Mytilus edulis: one gene and its partner. The protein of the gene in region 2 purifies or fractionates together with the protein of the main gene of each other region. This does not show direct contact. Links are inferred from orthologs where the notes say so. Each region holds a gene or a part of one and is shown on either strand. Other genes may lie near its edges.

Region 1 (8,054 bases), on a different chromosome or scaffold from region 2:
TTAAGATTTTTCCTACATACAAATTTTATCAAATTTTTACTAGACTTGGGCATAGGGGTTTTGGCTAAAGGTCCAGACCATAACAGTTGGTGATAGTTCTTTTTTTAACAATTCTTCAGACTTGTTTATACACTCAAAACATTATTTATAAAGAGGCCTTATTAGTAAAATTAAACATCCAGATCTATTTCATAAATTTTTATTTCAGTGAGAAAAAGCTTATTTTAAATAGCTACTGATATGTTGTTTGTCCTCTGTCACATATAATCTTCACAGAATTACTGTATTTAAATTGGATCAAAATTTGAAACCGAAAATTCTGCAACACACATAATTCAGGAATTAACTATATCAATATATTTTTGGGCAGCACTTCAGAAATCAAAGAGCTGAATAGCTCTGAGGGGAAAGATGGCCCTTGTCTCTTCTTTTTTTTTTTGGGGGGGGGTATCTTTTGATAGTCTTCATATATAAAGAATGAAAAAAGAGAACAGCTAGAACATGTAGAAAGGTTGACAATATTGAAGTCAATTGTTGTTTAATTTAATTTTGTTTCCTTAGTATGATTCAATTTGGACCAAGAGATCTGCATCTTCTAAATCTAAACATTCGATTAAAGTTGATAGTTAATTATGTAAAATTCAACTGATTTCTGTCATTTAACAACAACTACAATGTTTTCTGAAATCTTAATTGTGTACCACTGAACTGAATTTTCCATTTTTTGTGACAGTACTCTAAGATTTTTAATTTTTTTCTTAAGAAAGTTAGGACTGAAAAATCTATTTAATTTCAAATTTCCATTGATAAAGTTCCCAGTTACAACTCTCATCACAGGGGTACAGGTACTAATAAAAAATAATATGATTGATGTAAAATGTGTGAAGCTTGTTTCCAGATCCTACATTTTGAAATATTTGTAAATTTCATGAATAAATTATTATAGGTTTAAACTATAAAATGCAACTTTTTAAAAGAAACATTTTTTACCATTACAATGATTTATTTGTTGGTACACACAATTTAGTTTTAATGGAAGACTACTAATCATATACTAAATGTCACATTTTCAAGTTTTATTTTAGTGGATAATTACTCATCAATTGAGGTGCTCCTGATTTGGAGGAAGATTCACAGAACAGAATTTTACAGAAAAAATGAAAAAAATTGTTTCTCTCCCCGATCTCATGTACATGTATCTCCACGACCCTTGTTTACTCTGAAAGTTGTTGACCTACAAATTAAAGTATTGCATGTTGATGTTTGAATCATCTACAGCAAACATAATTATGTTTAAATTTAACAAATAATTTACAATTAGTGCACGAACTCTGAGAATGATTTAAATAACCAGTGAAGAATATCCCTGCTTCTTCATAGTGTGGCATTCCAACAATGACGTCATTATAAAATATAATGTAGGTTGGATATATTTAGAATATCTCGTCACTGATTTTTCCGGATTGTAAAAGAAACGTAAATAGTGTAAAAGAGAGCTCAAAATACGATAATTTCGCTAGAAACAGAAGGGAAATATGTAGAAAAGTATTTAAAGTCAATCTTTTCATTTGTGTGTTTCCTTCTCATCAAGCTCAGTAAGATTTTTTGGGGGTAATCACACTATAAAAACAAAATGAATGATGTGAGGGAATGTCACTCTGGTCAACCCCATATGGGATTGACGGCTTGAAGCCGTCTTTCCCCCAAAAACAAGCATATTGTGAGTATTGCATGGTATTAAATAGTCCCAATCTGGTTAAAAAATTTATAAGGGTTCCGCGGAACCCATTGTCCTGTCTACTTTTGCTGTTAATCACACACTCAACAAAAATGAAGAAAAAAATCAACAAAATTATTCCTCTCGATACTATCTTTTGATTGTCAGAAGCTTCTGTTCAAGTTCGGTAAAATTCCAGGCTAGTTTAAGAAACTTAAAAATGTTTTAACAACTTTAACTGCAGACTGTATGTAATGTTAACTAGAAGAAAAACAAGCTTCTGGCCAAGTTTCGTACAATTCCAGGATAGTTTAAGAAAGTTATTAAAATTTTAAAAACTTTAACCACAGATTGCATGTACATGTAATGGTTCCGAGCAGAAAAACTAAGTCCATTTATAAGTAAAAAAATGTAAAATATGGAAAAAATGGAATTTTATTTTTACAAAATTTACTCCTGGATACTATCTTATGAACATAAACAAGCTTCTGTCCAAGTTTGGTAGAAATCTACAATGTAGGATATTTCAAGAAAGTTATTAAAATTTCAAAAACTTTAACCACAGAGTGAATATTTGTGGACGCCGTCGATGACACCGATGGAATGTAGGATCGCTGTCTCGCTTTTTCTTCTAAAGTCGAAGGCTCGACAAAAATCATTGTAACGGAACAAATTCTAACTTGATCTTGTCATTGTGTGAACGATTACTCACATTACGAATTTACGATCAGGTTAATTTGCTCTTTCTGCTACATTGTAGCTCTCCATTGTAAATACAAATTAATGTACCTCATAAAAGAGACAACTAAAAAAAGCGATCTATAATAACAGGGTCAATTATGGGAATTAGTTAGACATGGAAAATAAGCTACACATGGGTCAACGTAATTTCAAATTATATGGGGACAAAGTCCCCAATAACAGTAGAAAATTCAATAAAAAAAAAAAACGGAAAAATTTTCCCGATATTTTCATTGTACTAATGAACTCAAAATAGTTCAATTTTTTTTATGTCATGTTTTGAATTCCTGCATCTGCGCAGAAATCTACAATGTTCTTCCTTTTTCCGGTCTTGTTTGCATGAAATTTTGAGTAAAATATATATATTTATCAGTTTAGTATAAAATAGGAAGGAACGCAATATCAATTTCATTTTTTTAATAATTCCTTGATATGAAAAAACGTTACCTAATGATAGCGTTTCTTTGTTAAAATTGCATATGACGTCATAACTTAAATAACGGCACAACTAAAATCCCTAACAAGAGAACCAAAATCGGAAACATTACGGTATTTCCGTTTCGAAATTAAGATATGTTTGAATTAAAATAAAATCATAGACTTCGTTCCCTTTCACAGGTAATGCCTGCCTCATATTATACATTTTACAGACTTAAGAGGTATTGAGTGAAATTAAAGTATACGGTGCAGTCCGGTGTATCCGCTCACCTAAGACTTATGACTTCACTTCATTCAACTGATAAAACCAATAAATGAATAATATTATGTGAACACATTCATAACATACTTTTATTTCATAAAATCTTCTGTTTGTATGGTTTCACCCTCAAGATTTTGTGTAATATGTGTCCAAAATTAGGGAAACCCTGTTCTGAGAGTTCCTCCAATGTCCGGTGATTTCGCGCATGCCTTCCAAAAATAGCTTATTTTAAAAAAAGAAAAGATTTTATACTACGAAATATAGCTGAGTTTGAACCAAAAACACTGCCAAGGATGCAGAGCAAAAATCATTTCAATCTGATATAAGTTTGACTTAAATAAAACAAATTTTATCTGATGATGTATTTTTTTTTAACGGAAATTGGCCAAATATGGCAAATTACGGGATTGCAGTTATTAATTAACTCTTGAACTTATCAATTTTATTCTTTTTTATCCCTTCAGATGGCTAAAACAATAACAAGAACGATTGTGTTTGTGATACTGTGTTGATATGACAAAATAAGCTAATGCGCGATATCACGGGCCGCGCAGACACCGGGGACTACTCCACTGTATATTCATCATTAAACACCATTTCAAAATGTTCAATGCATTTCAATAATTATATAAGTTGGTACAAGTTTACAATGGTATGAATTTACAGTGGTACAAGTTAGCAGTGGTACAAGTTTGCATTAGTACAAGTTTTTTTTAGTGGTATGAGTTGACATTGGTACAAGTTTATAATGGTACAGGTAACTATAATTTTGTCTCATATACATGTACATCATAAAGAATACATTGTACAATATTCAATATTTATCAGGTAAAAATACTATAGCCACTATATACAAATAAGATTCTTTAGTCTGTCTATAATCATTTATAATTTCTGAAATTCTGTGCAAAAAAACATCTTTTCTATTTCATTTTTTTTCGTTCATAGCTTTCGATAAATATACATGCTTGCCTTTTTCTCTAGTTAATTCTACTCAATACTAATCAACTTACCAATCTTTGTTTTGTTCTTTTGGAACAGAATAGAAAAGAATAGAACAGAAAGTAGGCCAATATTATTTCCAAACAAGAAGCTTATCCGTCTCTGTAAAGTGTATTCCGTATAAAACGCATGAATGATTTTGACTATATTTAGAGAGTATATATGAATTGAAAGGTTAAACATTGATAATTAATGATAGAAATTATGTATCAATTAAATTTTATTTAATATTAAGTATAATTCAAATACAAAGAACTTAAATCAGAAATGCTGAACATAAAAAAATCAAATGTTTAAAGAGTAATTTTTAAAATGGCAGCCCCCATGAGAAACAAATTTTGTTGAAACATAATTTAGCAGAAGTTTTGCTGCTCATCGGCACAGGAATAAAACATGTCCGAAGAAAAGAAAGAGGTATTTAATATACACATATTTGTTTTAACGTTTTATGGCTTAAGATCACAAAGCTGATTTTGAATCCTTTGAACAAGGATTTGTATTTTTGGCAGGCCCTCCTACCGCTTCTATTGGAGTTATCAATACCAAAATTGAACCATCGATAGACCTCAACATGAACTTTTACCAGATGAACTTTTGTAGGATTTCACCCTCCCCTTGAGGAGTAATCTCCCATTTATTGATTTTTTTCAACATGGTCCCCCCAAAATTAGTTAAAAGGTATCATAACTTTAATTGGTCAATAGGTAGATCTCATCATGATGTATTACCATATGAGGCTGCATAAGATTTCATCATCCCCTTTGAGAGTTATATCCCCTTGAAACAATTTCTTTTATTTGCATTTTTCTCAAAAAGTATTAGAGATAGAATTGAATTGAAAATGACAGCATGTATAAGAACAGATGGAAATGTTTATAAACATAAACAATTAATTTGTTGCCATCCCTTATAAGGAGTTATTTCCCTTTAAAATTTAAAAATAATTTTTCAAAAATTCTATTTTGAGAACCGAAAGTCATAGAGACTTGGAACCTTCACCAATAATCTTAAATTCATATGACCTTTAATATGCATCCAAGGTCAAAGGTCACCGAGTGCAAAAAAAAAATTACGCTGCAATCTCAAGCTTACATATTAGAAAAACGATAAGACTTTACTGCATACATATAGCGTATAAAATGTTCTTCACAACGAGTTCTACATTTTATACAATAAGCCCAAAAATGTCCGACCGTCTGTTCAAAAGTTACAACGGGATGAGTCTTACAAGTATAGTATTGTGTGTATATCTTTTTAAAGGTAACAGATATCAACCTACTATCAACAGCAAAGATGATCAGTAATTCAAGGCCTTCAATTTGAGGTCAATGTCAGGTCATGATGAAATTTCACCTTGACCTTCATATTATACTATGACCTTGACCTTGTGATATTTGAAAGGTCAAGTGGTCTTGAGTTGAATGGTGATAGTCCCATGTCTCTACGACTTCCGGTTCTCAAGTTTGGTTTTGCATCATATATTTGATGATTAATTGTGACCTTGTTGAACTTTCAAATTGTTTCAATTCTTTTCCTATAATGTTGTCCTTCAACTGTAGATCATTTATCATTTAACAGATTTGAGATATCTATTGTCGTTTTTGAGATAATGCAGTTTGAAGTTTTGCGAGCGGAGGCATGTATTTCTGAATCAACCAGAGCTTAGCACTTAAAATGTTTTAGAAATTGAAGAGGTTGACATAGTTATATGTTTGACCAAATACGAAAAATATTCCATGGAAAAAAAACACCAAAAAATCAATTTGAAAATTTCAAGCTTTGCATTGACTTTGTAAGTTTCATAACTTCTATTTATATAGTTGATATTACATCATTATTTGCACTTTGTCATATGGGGTCATCTGATATATCATATTGAAGGTCTTAATAAACTCTACTTAAAAATGAAAATTTTAAACCCCTTTTTCATCCCAGGGGGACGGGTGGGGTCATTTAGTGCAAACATTCAAATTTCTCAGATGGTAAGGTTGTCGCATATCAAATGAAAGAATATAAAGCGTACATTTCAAATTTCAAATTGACGTCTCCCAAAAATGGGTTGGATGGGGTCATTGAGTGCAAAAAATAAATCTTCTTTTACGGTAAGGTTGTTGTATATCAAATGAAAGGTCATGATGTGTACATTTGAAATATCAAATTCCCAACCTCCAAAAATTAGTTGGGTAGGGTTATTAAGTGTAAAAATCAAACTTTTTAGAACATGGCGTTGTCGCATATCAAACGAAATCTCATCTACCCTGTGTTACATATATCATACTTCCGATCTCAAAAATGTAGGCTGATGAGGTCATTAAGTGTAAAAAGCGAAAAGTTTCAGAAGGTATGCTTGTCGTATATCAAACGAAAGGTCGTACAAAGAACATTAAGAAAACATTACTTTTACAGGAAAGACCTTTCAATTGTTTTACAAACAATTGAGATACTAGTTTATTTAGTTTCTCTGTAGTGCCACATCATAAATACAAATGTACTAATGATTTTAATACAATAGAGCCATAAAATTACCAGAGTGATCGAAATTACAGATAGAGATTATAGTGTCAAGTTGACACTTCTAAAGACTAAAGACTTAGTATGTACAGCCTCAACAGGAACATTTTTTCTCTGTTCGTTTAATTTTCTGTAGCCTAGAATTTTTGACAAAAATGTTACCTGACAAAGAGAACGAGTCTGTATATGTATGATCCTCAAATCTCAATCTTATGGCCTTATGGCACAACTCTTCTCATTGGTGCATATTACGCCCTATGTGTATCTTCCTCCATGTATTTTCCTCCATGTACTTTAATTTTGTTTTTGCTGTTACGATTGAGGTTGCGGATGTTCGGGTAAGTCGAAACGTCCTGTTTTTGAAAATAACAGTATGAGAAGCTGTTTTTATGTAACAATTAAATGATCGACATATATATGTTATATTTTGGGTATAAATTAGTTGAATTGTTTCTTCTGATTAAGTGTAGGACTCATTTTGAGTATATTCACACTGACACATACATGCCATACAGTCACCTCTATATAATGATATACAGTTAAAAAAACCAAGTATTTACAGTTAATAATCCAATAACTACAATTTATGAAAATGGTGAAGATAGCCAGTGCCTGTTTAAACCCATCAAGGGTTGGCAAACTGACTAGTGGCAGTCACAGTGAGGCTGGTGATCCTGATCCTACGGTCAATATTTAGCTTTGACACATCTGGTCTCTTTGTGCTTACTTGTAGTTTCTCTGGGTAATGTCACATTGTTTAATTTAGTTAAATTGTTTAGGCACTGTATCGGAATTCTTCAAGGCTTAGTGTTTCCTGGAATCCCCCTGAAATCTTTAAATATTCTCCTATCATATTCATTGTTATCTCGTATGTCTCTTTCTTTGTTGGTGCTAAAAGTTTGTGACTGGAGACCTATTGGGATGTTATGTACATACATGTACAAAATGTATCTCCGGCTGTCTTCTTCTCATTGAATTTCTCAGGACTTCTATGTGCAAATAGAATTTTTAATTGACTGTCCTTTTCAGATGTGACCATCATGTCTTTACTCATCATTTTAGTGTAATTTCATGGACAATGAAAATTTCCCTTGTCTATTATCTTCAGAACAGTTCTCATTTACAAGCCCAAAAAAACAGCGTTTTTGCATATGGGGTATATATCTCCCATCTCCCAATTGATACGATATTCCTGTGCTTGCATTTCCTATCATGATTTTCTTGATAGAGAGTTGCTGCTCACACGTATGCTATTAAACCAAGAGTTCCAAATGGTGAAGTTTAAATCATTCCTTCAATAATTTTATGGACGTGATGACGAGTTGGTTGACTGTTATTGAATAACCGTTTCACAAATGATATCGGATAATTATGTTCCTTACA
Region 2 (9,038 bases):
ATAACCACATGATTTATGAAATAAATGTTTAGTATAAAGATAGGATAGGTTTCACAGGTGTGTTTAGAAAAGTTCTTAGCTACTGAAATTGTGACGGATTATATAGCACCTGAAATTGACATTTTATAATAGGAAGGAAAACTATTTTCGTATTGTTTTCTCATTTAACAATGTTTAAATAAAACTATAATACACAGATTTTAAGTTAGTGTTTCATAAATCAATTTAAAATTTTTGAATAATTCTGAATATTAATATTTTATTTATCCATCACAAAAATATGAAATTTATAAGGTGTTGTATTAATGTTTTATGTTCAGTACAAAAAATGTAACTCATTAAGTTATTGTTTTATGTAATAACTTTTACTAATATCATAAATATTACAACATGTAACTTATAAATTCATTATAAAATATATAGCACTCTTTGGCTAAATCATGATATGCATGATAAAATCTTAAAAACTTAGATTTCTGCACATATATACATTAACAAATATCATTTTGCAAACTGTAAATTCAGAAATCATTGCGAGGTTTTTATTAATGCGAATATTGCGAATGGTGATGTATCACAAATAATAAGAACTCCCATTTTGTTGCCTGATACATATATCTGTATGAAGATGTTTCGAAAAATCGCAATATTTGATCTCGCATTTTTGTCCATTCTATAAAGACGGCAATAATAAATTCACACAATAATTTCTGAATTTTACAGTATGTAACATATAAACTTACTGGACAGCCCGTCTCAAAATGGCTTTCATCACAGTCTAAGAAATCAGGCCAGGCTCCATGGTAAATCTCAACAATTTTACATGGTGATTTTATCTTCTTACATAATTCTTTACTAGGCAACTCCACCTGCCCACCATCACATTTAGGCAAGTACACTGAACAAAGAAAGGGTTGCACCAATGACCAGCATTCGGGAACATATTTCAAACCCTCCCAGAGTTTTAATTTTTCGTTTACTGAACTTAATGTTGAAGAATCTATGAATTCCAGCGATGTATTAGTGAAGGTCAAGGTAACACCAAGACATGTGGTTGTAGTTCCGAGTGACTGGCACGTTGCATTTTTGTAACAAGTCTGACTGGATGAAATATCTACTATCAAAAGTAATAATGCTGCCTCTCTTAACACCATTTTGGAAAACATTGAAGTGAAAATTCAAAGACACAACAATATGAAACCAAAACATTTAAGCTTTATCATGTTTAAAAGAATCACTTTAACTAAAAGGTGTCAAAACACTGTTAATTGTTTTAAAACTGGCTTTTCATAGAATGTATCTAGAGGTTTATTTGAGTATCCAAGTATATTAATGTTTGTGCCACGTTTCCATACTAACAAGAATATCATTGGTTCCAGTTAATGATGTGTTCATATAAAGGATCATGGAACAGTTATTGAACTTTTCCATATTATTTTACAAAATTGTTATTGTAGTTCTTCATCTAAACGCTGTGACAACTAAATGCAATGTGAACTTTTAACCCAACATCTTCTCTGTACATGTACCATGTATGTTTGAAACACGTTGGGATGAAACAGGCACCATTCGTTCTCCCATCCTCCAGAAATTCTCTAACCTGTAATTGAAATTATTGTATTATTATAAGGTAAATGGAAGATCTAAATTCTATAGGTAACAAATATTTACAATGTACCACATTTATATCTCGAATCCAGATGTCGACTTTCTCTTATGAATTGTCTCACATTTTGACATACCAGGGTCTTTAACAGCTTACTACATAAAATGGGTTCCATTGTTTTGCTCAGTGTTGAAGGCTGTTTTGTGATAAGTTATTCTCATTCTTTGGTCTCTTGTTGATAGTTGACCCATTGGTTGCAATCATAAAACATCTCCTTATTTATACATTAAGTGTATCAAATTGGATGCAGATGTCTATCCTTTATTCTATTAAATTAAGCTTAAAAATACAGAACAAAAATTTAAACTGTGACAAATGATAATAATTTAATTTTGGATGTAAAGCTTCTTCTGATTGGCTGACGTTATTTTGTTCTCAGCCCATAGACATAATTTAGTCATGTGATTGTGACGTTTTTTCATGGTTTTTTACGGTTTAAAATGGAATTTAGAATTAAATTATAAGAAATGATATTTTTTTGGTCTATTCGAAATAGACTCAAAAACAATAAAATGAAGTTAAAATATAAATTGGAAATTCAAAGTAAAATTTTTAGTTTGTAATATATTAAATGCAGCTCTGATCAATTGAAGTCAATGTTACAGATGATCATGAGATAAAATTAAGTTACTACAACATCTAAGGGTAAAATCTTTAATTGTATCATTTTTTTCTTATAAATTTCTTACCTTTAATTTTAAAATATAAAGAAATCGAATTTCATCCACAGAAAAATCATGTGATACGCTTCTTAAACAAGTATATTTGTACAATGTAACTGTGCTATCATTTTAAATTACAAAGCAAATAAATTCTGGTTAATCTTCAGTAAGTTTAATTCAAATGTATCTGTTGGATTTGTAGCAATAAAGAGAGGAACATATTCAAACAACTTTAAATGCTATAACACCCACTAAAATATCAAATTTCAAAAACGTAAAAAATATTCAAAGAGGCCAAAAAATTGACAAGTCGTTCATCCAAAAACAGGCTTTAATCAACTATCATGTCTATAATGCAAAATATGACAGATTTTATGAATGAAATTCTCTTTAAACTTTGACCTTTAAATATGACACTTAAATAGATATAATTACTTATTGACTAATTGCCAAATACTGGATGCCTCTACGTTATGACCTTTTGAGCACTTAAAAAAAATTGTCATCAGGACATCAATTCAAATTGTTTCAATTGTTATAAAGAATAGAGATATAACCATGATAACTGAGAATTTCAAGTCTTCAAACTGACTAAATTAGAAATGAAAACACACATACATTAATAAGCTGATGCTGCAAATCATTGATACCTGTTCATTGCTGTTCACGACTTCTGTCTTTGACAGTGAAAAAAATATTCAACCAATTTTTAAGTCCTACACAATTACCAAAATAACAAGAAAACAAATTACATGTATGAATCCAAAGGACAGCTTGTGATCATTCTTCACTAACAAGACTAAGGGGAGCCAGACTTACCATTGGAATATTTATTATGAATTAATGAAATGAAACATTGAACTCTTATAAAAAAATTATGACCTAACTTGAGAAAAATTGTTTAACGCATGTTCTTACACCTCAAAACTTACACAAGTAAATTTTTGAGAAAATTAAGGGGAGATAATTCAAACATTATAATTAACTTATATCAGTTTATAAATTATTATTTATTTCTACTTCTTCAAGTAAATACAGATTACTTGTACAAGTAGTACCCCTGACTGACTATTAGTTTCCTACAAAAAAATCTAGATATACACTGAACTCCATAAACTTTGACAAATCTCAATTCTCAGATATATTTTTTTGTAATATAAAATCGAAGATCCTGGAAATTTGGGTTCAAATGTTTTTTAAGAGTTTGGTTTGTAAATTTAGTTTAGAATATCCCTAAGTGAAACCATTTGAAAAAAGAAGTAGGTTATCATGGTTATTGTCCTCACTAATGGAACCCTAACTTATTTTATCACTACTTTTGGATATTTCTAAAAATACAAGAACACAATACATGTAGGTATAGAATTTTTAAATATTCCAATTTTTCTGTAATCATTCACTGATGATTATTACATTGCAAAATTAAGAACAAAATTTCTATTAATTTCTAAAAATAATAATATTATGACATCGTAAGAGGGCAATAATAATATTACGACATCGTAAGAGGGCCACACAGCAAAATTAAAATTATGTCAAATCTAATTATCAACCTTTGGTATATATATTTATTAATCATATTTATTGATTGATGTTTAACACCACTTTAAGTGCTATTACGCTTAGTCCAAATAAATATGATGCCTTGAAATGCTATTTTATTCTTTTGTTTTGATGTCCATACATCTACATTTATACTATTGATCTGCAGTGTAAATCCATACTGCTGTGCTCTGCAGCGGAAATCCATACTGCTGTGCTCTGCAGTGGAAATCCATACTGCTGTGCTCTACAGTGGAAATCCATACTGCTGTGCTCTGCAGTGGAAATCCATACTGCTGTGCTCTGCAGCGAGGATTAATAGCAAAAAAAAAGAAGTTTATAATTAGTCATTAACCAGTCAAGGGTCTAACTTAAATAAGTTATCAGAGAAAAATAACATGCATGTGTTATTACAGACACTTTCATGAGTTGTCTACTCTTTTTTCCTTAATCTGTAATAACATAATTATGTTTGTTATCAGTTAAATATATCATAAATATTTTATCTTTAATGGGCACTTGGGAATTCTTTAAACTTTGCGCAGTAGTTTAATATATTTCCTTGATAACTAATTTTTAATTCCATTAATACAATTTTGATCAACCATGGTAAATCAATGAGACAAGGCTTTTAAGGGAAAACTAAACTGTAATAACAAGGCTTAGTTATTACAAGCATAAAACTTACAACATTGTATATGAGAGTAAATGAGACACTTGGAATCTTGCACAGTGCCTCATTACAAGCTCTATCATCATTTCTTACAATAAATTGAAATACATTGTTATGCAAGACTGTAAAGAGATATAGACATGATAGAGAAGCTGTAATAACACCCTTTGGTTATTGCAGGAATATATTTTCTGTAATAACATAGGTGTACTATGCATGATTTCTAAACTATGAGCTGTTATATCTTTGCAAAGGTTAGTATACTTAAAGAAAATTATAATATCAATAGAGCTGGAGAAAAATTTAACAAAAGAAAGGTTAACGTTGTATATTTCCCCTTTGAAACATGTAACATACATATGTTATCACAGTTTTTTGATATTTTAGCTCACAATAACAACATGTATGTTATTTTTCTCTAATAACTTATTTAAGTTAGACCCTTGACTGTTAATATAACTATATTGTGCTATTTCATGGGGTCAGTTTTTATCCTTGGAGAAAACCAGGGTGCAGAGAGTCATTGTATTATGAACATTCGTAGGTAAAATTACTAACCCTGTTTTAGAGCCAAACTCACAACCTCAATATTGACAGACTAGTGATACAGTAGACTATACATAGAGACTAAGAAGAGTATACCCTTATTTTCTATTTTTTAATTTTTTTAATTGAATAACTTCACATGCATGACATGTGATAACACCCTATTAATATAAAGAAATGTCAGTTTCTTTTGTGTTTTTAAATGTCTCTTTTCAACTGATATTTGCATCAAGCAATACACAATAGTAGTCATAGCTTCTAGATTTTTGAAGTTGTGTGAAAATCAACAAAGACCAAGGTGAGGTCAACCATACATTTTTGGTCAGTTTCTCTACTTTGTACTCGCTTTCAAATCAAACTACCCGCCATTTACTAACATAAGATAATATTGATTGTAATCGATAATCTGTTAAACACTTTGACTATGTAAATAAGTCAATAAAATGTTGATAAGTAGCCAACAACCTGTGTTCTTACCTGACCTAAATTAATCCATTGATCACGTGACAATGCTGACATCCGTTCTCAATATTAACCTCTACATGTGCAATGAGAAATATTGGTTTGATAAACATATGGCTAAAGAAAGCGTTCTAAATCAAAACAAGGAGATTAATTAAGTAATAGAGACAAACTTTTCAATATAATTATGATTTTTGATACATTTAACAAACAAATAGTGTTTAATAATAAAAGGGGGAAGGGCTATGTACATATTAAACAGGTCAGGAATAAACACCAATTGGTGGATTATACCTCAATTGACGTATAATCCACCAATTGAGGTATATTGGTATAGACCAATTGATGTATAATGCAAGTTTTTTTTGTAATTAAATGCTAGTGTGAGATAGGAGCATGATTTTGCAACTTGCAACCTATTTCATAACCCTTATTGAGTCCTCCGAAATTTCAGTTTTGTCAAAGCCTGCTGCATCTCTTGAGAATGCATGTGTACAACAATTCTTTTGTTGAAACATTTGTACTATTGACCATGATTGACTTTTGATAATGAAGGTCAACTATTAACAAAGAGCACCATTCACCTGTGGAGTTGTACACATGATCACATGACTGCAGACAGTAATGATGTCCATTGACAGGTGATTACAGGTAAATTTGCCAATCAGGAATTGACAAGATAACAATAGAAGAAACTTCAAATACAATTATCGATTAGATGCAATATGTTATGTCACTATACTAAACTAGGAATGTTTGACAAGTTTTCATACCATAAAATGGTTTTAAGAAAACAATGCTCCATTTGGGTGGAATAATTTGTTTTGAAAAACAAAGAATTATACACCAATTGGTCTATACCATTATATGTCAATTGGTGGATTATACGTCAATTGAGGTATAATCCACCAATTGGTGGTTATTCCTGACCTGTTAAAAAAAAGAGAAGAAAAGCCAAGTACAGAAAAAAATTAAAAGAAAATCTACAATGTTACATGATGACATGCTCTTCATGAGTTTACCACCTAAACACGTCAGGTGTACTTTATATAGTATCTTTTGTTATTCGGATGTACAAGTAGTTGAAGTACCAATTAGACTATGTTGACTTTGTTTTTGTAATATGTATTTCTATTTGTATCTAAATGGTAAGTTAAGCCTTTTCAACTGATTTTATAGTTTGTTCTTATGTTGTACTGTTACACCACTGTTCTGGGTAAGGAGAAGGTTGGGATCCAGCTAACATGTTTAATAAGGCTGTTAGTTTGAATTGTTTGAATTGTTTTACATTGTCATTTTGGGGCCTTTTATAGCTGACATCCATGGGATATGGGCTTTGCTCATTGTTGAAGGCCATACAGTGACCTATAGTTGTTAATTTCTGTGTCATTTTGGTCTCTTGTGGAGAGTTGTCTCATTGGCAATCATACCACATGATAAAAAGACAAACAATAATTTTCCAAGCATAGTAACTATTGCTTTCTATTCAGGTAAAAAAAAGTTTCTATTTGTTGGTATGGCATTCTCCAAGCTGGTTAATCCAAAAAAGAAGAAAAGAGTACATGCAGCCAAAGAGTCACCATTTCCAGTTCCCATAGCAACAGAACAGTATGAGAACACATGGTTCTACTACACAGGCTATCTCCATGATAACCACATAGAAATCAAACATAGTGGAGATATTGACAGACTGTACAAAATGGTGAGATCCTAAGTAAAAGTTTTACACTTATTGTGTGTTCAAGTTGCATTTATATATTGTGCAAGATTTGTTCCATGAAAGGTCCTTGAAGGACCTTTATATTCAAATAAGGAGATGTGGTATGGTTGCCAATATGACAACTATCCACCTGAGTGTATTTGAAGTAGATATACTTTTATCATAGGTTTAGTAGTAAATACAGTAGTTTTGAATATTTGATAAATAGCTTGCTGTTTAATCCATATCGCGCAACTTTGATTTGCAACCTTTATGGCATACCCTTTATCACACCCCTACCCTTTATCGCATACCCTTTATCACACCTTTACCCTTTATCACACCCCTACTTTTTTTTTTTACATGAAGTCACTTTTTATAATGTAAACTTAAGAAATATTTTTCCCTTGGGCTGATATTGGTGTCTCGGGATGATACAACATATGATACGGATTTTGCCATGTATTATTCTCTATTAATTGGCCACTGTACAGACATCAACAGAGAAAAAAACCCATACCCATTACCCAAATGATGGCTGCTCAAGGGTTTCGATATGAAAAATGTGTATCAATACAAATAAATGAGAAAACTATTTATAAGTACAAAAACAATGTACATATAAAAAAGAAGATGTGGTATGATTGCCAATGAGACAGCTATCCACAAAAGACCAAAATGACACAGACATTAACAACTATAGGTCTCCGTACGGCCTTCAACAATGAGCAAAGCCCATACTGCATAGTCAGTTATAAAAGGCCCCGATAAGACAATGTAAAACAATTCAAACGAGAAAACTAATGGCCTTATTTATGTAAAATTTATATACATGTACATTTACATATAACACTTGTATTAATAATAATTGTTTATGGCATAAAGTTGTTATACAGCATACCTTAAAAATCAGCTTCACTATTTTTTTTTTTTTTCCCCAAGTAATTAAGGTTAACTATTCAAAGGAATTTATAGATGTTCCTTGTTAACTTGACCAACTGACTCACAAACTGTTTTAATACTGTAAACAGTCGGACAACTAAAATAATTTAAATATCTTAAATTTGGCTTTGAAGAACTTTTCATAATCTTCAAAGATTAAAACACTCTCTACCTAATTTGGTTACTAATTGATTTATTGCATAATTAATGTATTTTTATGCCCCACCTACGATCCACCTACGATAGTAGAGGGGCATTATGTTTTCTGGTCTGTGCGTCCGTTCGTCCGTCCGTTCGTTCGTCCGTCTGTTCGTTCGTCCGTCTGTCCCGCTTCAGGTTAAAGTTTTTGGTCAAGGTAGTTTTTGATGAAGTTGAAGTCCAATCAACTTGAAACTTAGTACACATGTTCCTTATGATATGATCTTTCTAATTTTAAAGCCAAATTAAACTTTTGACCCCAATTTCACGGTCCACTGAACATAGAAAATGAAAGTGCATGTTTCAGGTTCAAGTTTTTGGTCAAGGTAGTTATGTTTCAGGTTAAAGTTTTTGGTCAAGGTAGTTTTTGATGAAGTTGAAGTCCAGTCAACTTGAAACTTAGTACACATGTTCCTTATGATATGATCTTTCTAATTTTAAAGCCAAATTAAACTTTTGACCCCAATTTCACGGTCCACTGAACATAGAAAATGAAAGTGCATGTTTCAGGTTCAAGTTTTTGGTCAAGGTAGTTATGTTTCAGGTTAAAGTTTTTGGTCAAGGTAGTTTTTGATGAAGTTGAAGTCCAATCAACTTGAAACTTAGTACACATGTTTCTTATGATATGGTCTTTCTAATTTTAAAGCC

What was found. Proteins that work in one complex are often made in the same cells at the same time.
Region 1: the proteins of tRNA-splicing endonuclease subunit Sen2-like (region 2) and polyribonucleotide 5'-hydroxyl-kinase Clp1-like purify together in Homo sapiens (affinity purification with mass spectrometry; 3 studies listed by BioGRID and IntAct, counting the BioPlex papers as one, with this or other methods). This does not show direct contact. The link is inferred for Mytilus edulis from reciprocal best matches to the Homo sapiens genes TSEN2 and CLP1.

The regions. Positions count from the first base shown.
Region 1 is NC_092345.1:102,189,853-102,197,906, forward strand, and holds the start of polyribonucleotide 5'-hydroxyl-kinase Clp1-like, read left to right. Parts: upstream 1-4,426; 5' UTR 4,427-4,553; coding exon 4,554-4,574; intron 4,575-8,054. UniProt on the Homo sapiens protein: Polynucleotide kinase that can phosphorylate the 5'-hydroxyl groups of double-stranded RNA (dsRNA), single-stranded RNA (ssRNA), double-stranded DNA (dsDNA) and double-stranded DNA:RNA hybrids. dsRNA is phosphorylated more efficiently than dsDNA, and the RNA component of a DNA:RNA hybrid is phosphorylated more efficiently than the DNA component.
Region 2 is NC_092355.1:3,469,977-3,479,014, reverse strand, and holds the start of tRNA-splicing endonuclease subunit Sen2-like, read left to right. Parts: upstream 1-5,606; 5' UTR 5,607-5,709; intron 5,710-6,955; exon of another isoform or gene 6,956-7,041; 5' UTR 7,042-7,067; coding exon 7,068-7,253; intron 7,254-9,038. Other genes in the region: protein smoothened-like, read right to left, coding at 744-1,166.